2 linked regions of the Sus scrofa genome follow. The protein of the gene in region 2 interacts with the protein of the main gene of each other region in a biochemical or structural test. Links are inferred from orthologs where the notes say so. Each region holds a gene or a part of one and is shown on either strand. Other genes may lie near its edges. The genes, in order: MPP1 and ABCC4.

Region 1 (2,719 bases), on a different chromosome or scaffold from region 2:
GCCCCCGAGGCCCGGCTGACAGCTCGCCTATCCCCCTTGCCCCGGGGACGCTGGAGCTCAGAAATGAAGGCGTGACGGCGGGAAATGTTTTCCAGACAGATCTACAAGCTACAGGCAGGATTTCCTTAAGGTCAAGGCTCCTCCTCATCCTTTGGAAAGAACACAACTAACTCATATCGGTACTCGTCGGAACAGCCGTCCGGCAGTTCTACCTCCACAGCCTTCTGCTTTCTGACCCCAGAATGTCCCTAAAGGCAAACGTGGAGAGGCAAGGAAAAAAACACTAGCAGGTTCAGCATCCAGCTTTCTCCACAGATTCACTTCTGGAGCTGGAAAGGATCTCAGCATCCACCTGACCCCCAGCCCGCTTCTTCTCTCTGGGCAGCCGCTGCCACGCGGGGGTCTGCCTGAGCACGGCTGTGACTGGGAAAATAGTCCGTGAAAACGAGTGGGCCTGGAAGAGCGCTCAGAGTGATGCGGGCATATGGGAAGATGTTGATACCACAAATAAAATGGAAAAAGTAATGTAAGTTTTTAAGAACATTATTTACTTCATTTTTAAGAGCAGGATAAAAACGGCTAGCACGGCTTCTGCTAGGGAGACAAACAGCATTGCTCCTTTGTTATGTGGAGCAATTATGGGTACAAATGTGGATCTTAGACCCAAATGTTCATGTTTCTCTTGCTTTCTTTTTCAGTTTGGCCACCCCGGGGCATATGGAGTTCCCGGGCCAGGGATCAGATCCGAGCTGCAGCAGTAACCACAGCTGCGGCAACACCGGATCCTTTGACCCACAGCGCTGGGCCAGGGAGCCAGCCTGCGTCCTGGCATTGCAGAGACACCACTGATCCCGCTGCACCACAGCGGGAACCACTCGTCTGTTTCTGTAATCAAACATTTAAGGTAGAATCACAGAGCAAAAAGCCACTCTTGACCCCGAGCCAGCTACTCACAGGGCGCGGGGTAGGCGAACTTCTCCGGGTTCCGGCTGAGCAGGGCACTCTTGACGTGGCTCCGGCCCACCCCGCTGGCTCCTGCGTGAGGGAGAAGGGAGAACACAGAGGCCGCTGTGAGGCAAATGGGGGCTCCCGTCTCTTCCCCCCAAACAAAGCTGGGGCTTGGAACATGAATGGGCAGAGCCTGACATCACCAACAGGTGACAGTGAGTTGGCACAGCTTCCAGGCTGGGGTCAGGGACAAGCACTGCTTTAAGTGGAGGAGGATTCGAGGCCCTTCCCACAGGCTAAGGATCAGGATTCAGAGCCTGTCATCTGCACGGAGGAGCCAGCTCACTCTCGGGATGTGCTGTTTATTTTCTAGGCATACGCGCTCTGCTGGGCGCTCTCCAAAGCTAAGGGAACGGAACTGAAGCCAGAGTTTGTGCTGAACTTTAAACAGAACCCGGATGTAGATCCTCTAACCCGGCTAATCTCTTCAGCCCGGACGCACGCGGCATGTCAGGGGGCCCCACCCGCGCTCTCGGGTCCCCTGCTGTGCCGGTTAAAGCCGCGTGGGGGGGACACCCGAGCGCCGGCAGGTGCACAGAGCACCTGAGAGAATTAGCTGCTCGGACTCCTGCCGGGTTTCCTTTAGCTTCTAAGGTGAACCCCGGGGGTGGGGGGTGTCCCGGTCATGGCCCTACAGAGTCCTCGGGTGTGCCTTTTTGCTTCCGCCTCTCACTGCCCTTTTCGGAGGGAGGGGAGGGGGCCCCAGGCTGCGGGCAGATACCAATCAGCACCAGCGTCTTCCTCTTGAACGCGGGCAGCCGAACCACCTCCTCGTAGGAGACGACATCCAACTGGTCAAAAACTAAAGACGAAGAAACCCAGCAAAGTTCCCTCGGGAGCCGGGACAGTGTCCGGGACAAGCAGGGGGCGCGGGTGACGGCGGCGCGTCCGGGTGGCCACTGCCCGCCCGCCTCCCCGTCCACCCCCCTCCCCAGTCTGTCGCCCGCGTCCCGCCCCCCAGCCGCCAGCAGCCGCGCCGACGTCGGGGGCACGGATGGGGCCCCCAGCCCGGGCCTGGCTCTGTCCCCCCAGCGGCGAGGCCTCCTGCCGGCGCAGGGATTTCAGGTTCCGGGAGCTGCTCGCCTTCCTGTTTTGATCCAGAAGCGCACGGGCAGGAGCGGGAGGGCGGCGTCTAACTGGCACATTCCCACGTTTCCTGCAGTCCGCTCGGACCGGCGCGCGTTTTCGGGTGTTTCCAAGCTCAGCAGGCCAGGAACACAGGCAGACCCAGCCCTCGGGGACGCCTGCCTGGCGCGGGGCTGCTCAGACCCTGCACTGGGTCGCGCTCGGGCGGAAAGGTCTGGAAGGCGGCGGACACGGACACGCGGCGGCCGTGCGGGCCGTGGGCCGGGCCCGGGGGGCAAGGCCCAGGGGCAGCAGAGGGGACGCGGCCCGCCTTGCGCGCCCCGTGGGTCCCGGGAGCCGCAGCCGGACGCTTACTCGCGCTGTGCTTGGCCAGGTACTTGTCCTTGTACTTCTTCTTCTTCCCGAAGGGACTGCAGCTCGGAGCCTCGCTCGGGGCCGACTGCGCTGTGCTCGCCACTCGCCTGGTGGGAGAGACAGCCCGGGTCACCCGCCTCCTTCCCTGCACCTGCCCCCGGCTCTCTCTGCGCCCCTCACGGCCCGCGTGTGGCCCTCTCTCACCCCCGCTCCCCTTCCCTCTCTGACCCAGGGCCTCTCGAACCCACAAGCTCCGGGTTCCTAGTCGGAT
Region 2 (3,816 bases):
ACTAGTATCCATGAGGACGCAGGTTCCATCCCGGGCCCCACTCAGTGGGTTAAGGACTGGCATCGCCGTGAGCTGTGGTGTAGGTTACAGATGTGGCTCAGATCTAGAATGGCTGTGGTATGGTGTAGACTGGCAGCTGTAGCTCCGACTCAACCCTAGCCTGGGAACCTCAATATGCCACAGGTGAAGCCCTAAAAAGCAAAGAAATATGTATACACACACACATATACATACATATACGAATGGCTCTGAGTTGTGAAAGATCATTGCGTATTTTCAGGAGAAAGGTTTCACCCAAGAATTGTTTGAAATGAATATTTAAAATACATAGCACAATGATAGAAGGTTGCCCTGTATGTCGGGGTCAAGTTTATGTTTATCATAATGGCTTCTGACGTGGGTTCCTGAGATCCATGGCTTCTGCTTTGTGGTCTCAATCAAGTTGCTTTTCCTCTCCCAGTGCCTCAGTGTCTCCATCTATAAAATGAGACTGGACTATTACTAGTAAGGGTACTGCGAGGAATGGTGAGTTCACAGGAGTGAAGTATTGAATGCACAGCCCTGCACATTCAGCAAATGTTAAGTACGCAAAGAAAAAACAAAAACAAACAAACCAAAAAAACCCAACCTAGAAAGAGGAATTCTCATTTCCAGAGGTCTACATTTGAATTTTTCTCCCTTTCCTGGTCTTGGAATTTGCAATTAACCCTTTCTTTATCCATACAGGTATAGTTGAGGCTTTTGGATTCCTCATCTGTGTTACCTGCTTGCTCTAGTAATACCTACTGGTTCATAATTTGGAACTCAGGTCCTGCTGTCTGAGTCTGAAATAGTCCATCTGTTAAAAATCATGTTTGGCACATAGTAAGCTTGCAATAAACATGAGGACCACCTAAATTTTTGTTTTTTTTCTTGGATAGGAACGCATCCCCTACTTTTCAGACTTGCCTTTGGTGGAAAGGAGTTTAAGCCTAAAAAAATCAACCCATTAACACTTATTTTTGATAAGAATGTTTGATAGAGAGGGCTCTGTATCTATTTTCTTTATTTCAGACATTTCTACAAGTGATGGGTGTGGTGGGAGTCGCGGTGGCGGTGATTCCTTGGATTGCGATTCCTCTGATTCCCCTTGGCATCATTTTCTTTGTTCTTCGGAGATATTTCTTACAGACATCACGAGATGTGAAACGCCTGGAAGCTACAAGTGAGCACCTGGGCCCTCTGGGATGACAATGCAAACTAGCTTCCATTTATGCTGTAATTAGTAAAAATATTAATAAATAACCATCATTATTAAGACAAAATCATGAAGTAGAATTGTTATGTTTAAAAGAAGTTATCTGGACAATGTTTATGTCAGAAACCTTGACTGGATGGTTGCTGCAAATTAATACTAACTTTCTAGAAACCAAGCCAAGAAAGAGGTATATTGTGTTCCATAGTTCTCTGTATCTACTTCCTTTCCAGAAGGGGTGTAATCCCTCCTCCTCCAGGCAGCCCCCCAGGAAGCTCCCGGTGTGCCCTTTGGTGGGAATTGCGACCCCAGGGTGGGGGAGGTCGTTTGTTTCCTGGCATCCAGGCTCCCTGACCTTCTCTGTCGTGTCTCTGCTTCCCCAGCACGGAGCCCGGTGTTTTCGCACTTATCGTCTTCTCTCCAGGGACTCTGGACCATCCGGGCGTTCAAAGCTGAACAGAGGTTTCAGGAGCTGTTCGACGCTCACCAGGATTTGCACTCAGGTCTGTACGTTTCTAGAAATAATTTCAAGAGTTGGGATATGCTGCCTTCTGCGGCTTGACCTCCTTCTCAGGTGGCTCTCTCTCTGCGCTGCCTGCCTCTGCACATCCTCCCCCACCCCTTCCTCAAAGCATCTTCTCCGTTCCCTCCGTGTCCCCAGTCACACCGCTATTTTACTCCCCTGACTGGTTTGCACGGTCCTTGCATCATGGTGCCCTGTTGCTTTGTGGACCCTGTTGCAGCATTCAGTAACCCTTTTTTTTTTAAAAGATCCAGACAGTAAAGTAAACATTTTAGGCTTTGTGTGCCACCCTGTCTCTGTTGTATCTAATCAGGTTGCAGAAAAGCAAGGCAAACATAATACAAATGGCCATGGCTGTGTTCCAGTAAAAGTTTATTTGCAAAAGTAGGTGATGGGCTATTCCTGGCCCCAGGTTGTAGTTTGCCCCTCTCTTTGCAAAGCATGCAAGGTGGCCTAAGTGACTGAGGAAAAGAACTGCCTCATAGTCCGAGTTTCCGCCCACTTGATGTATGTTATTCTTTGCAGCAGTGATATTTTTTCCTTAGGTAGAAATTTCAGAATTTCCCCTAAGTCTGTAAAAATCCTGGCCCACCTTTCCAATCTTTATTGTATTTCGAGCTTAAGAAAGGCATTTTGCAAGCCACGTGCAGATCCTGTTAGCTGCTGCGCTCTGCTCTCAGAGAACTGGGAACGGTTGCCACTATGAGAGGATAAGCCTGACACCGAGGCCCAGCCCTGCAGCGAATGTACCCATTGTACCGTTTGTCCGTGTTCTTTATTACAGTTATATTTCTGTTTATACCCCGTGGGTTGAAGTCTCCCGTGCTTGCGTCTCACAAGGCCCCTGGCCTGATTCCTCTGTGTCCCACATGTCCTCTTGTGTCAAAATCTTGCTTTTTGGACTCTTCAGGCTCCTCACATGTTCAACTTGGCTGTCCTACTTTGTGTCACAATCTTCTGTCGCTCAACCTAGCACAGAGCTCTCCCCTACTCAAAGCGGTTAAGATGGTGTTTCTGCTTATTCACTCTCCTTATTCCGCTTCACAAATCCAGAGGCCTGGTTCTTGTTTCTGACCACGTCCCGATGGTTCGCCGTGCGTCTGGATGCCATCTGTGCCATGTTTGTCATTGTTGTTGCCTTCGGGTCCCTGATTCTGTCAAAAAGTGAGTACAGATGTGAATAACTGTGCTACGATCGCAGTTTATATAACTGCATTTACAGTTATTAAGGGAAACTTTTGCTACCTAGTCGAACATCAGAGGCTGTATGGTCCCCATGACATGTGTTCAGGCATTGGTAGTGTGGGGCTCAGGCGGAGGAGTCATTTGGGTCTTAAGCACACCTTTTATCCTTTTATCTTTTTTGAGTGGGTCGAGGTCTACACCAGTTTAGCAAACTGACCATATTTGGGAGGAGAGAAGCACACTTGCTTTTTGTGTAGGTTCAGCGCTTTAGGATTCAGCTGAAGCGCTGCTTGGATCTTGCGGTTGCAAGTGCCTGATAGACTGAGGTGAGAAAGATTCTCTAAGAGAAAACACTGCCCTCACTGCTGTGGGTACCAGAAGAGCAGGCGTTGACGCGCCTGGCATGAAGTCACCGTCCCTAACTATTCCGTCATAACAACCCAGAATTACAATCTTGAATAATGGAACAGTCAAGAGTATTATTTTAGTTTTCAAAGCACTGGTGTTCTTAGAACCCATTGCCTTGTTTTTCGTGGTTTCCAGCTGCGGCTACTTTGGACGTAGAAAGTGAGATTATCAGTGAGACCATAATGACGCAAGTCTGAATAATAACACGATTCCCCCACCTGTGTGGTGCTGTGCAAGTGTATTGAATAGCTTTCTGCATTCTTCCGATTTGGATTTTTTGGTCTGTTTTTCTTTTTTTTTCCCCTTCGTATCATCGAGTCCATCCGTAGATAGTCAAAGTACAAGTAATGCTATTGTCATACGCACATGATTTAAAAATCGCAAGGGAGTCTTGGTAAAGTGATGGAAGTGGCCGGGCTTGAGGGTAAGCGTGGCCTTGATGTTATTCTTCTTCTGCTTCTTCTCT

The links.
Region 1: the proteins of ABCC4 (region 2) and MPP1 form a complex in vitro, tested with the Homo sapiens proteins (2 studies listed by BioGRID and IntAct, with this or other methods). The link is inferred for Sus scrofa from reciprocal best matches to the Homo sapiens genes ABCC4 and MPP1.

Annotation. Positions count from the first base shown.
Region 1 is NC_010461.5:125,232,274-125,234,992, forward strand, and holds part of MPP1 (55 kDa erythrocyte membrane protein), read right to left. Parts: intron 2,556-2,719; coding exon 2,449-2,555; intron 1,811-2,448; coding exon 1,730-1,810; intron 1,036-1,729; coding exon 955-1,035; intron 1-954. UniProt on the Homo sapiens protein: Essential regulator of neutrophil polarity. Regulates neutrophil polarization by regulating AKT1 phosphorylation through a mechanism that is independent of PIK3CG activity.
Region 2 is NC_010453.5:64,135,308-64,139,123, reverse strand, and holds part of ABCC4 (multidrug resistance-associated protein 4), read left to right. Parts: intron 1-1,053; coding exon 1,054-1,204; intron 1,205-1,617; coding exon 1,618-1,737; intron 1,738-2,810; coding exon 2,811-2,921; intron 2,922-3,816. UniProt on the Homo sapiens protein: ATP-dependent transporter of the ATP-binding cassette (ABC) family that actively extrudes physiological compounds and xenobiotics from cells.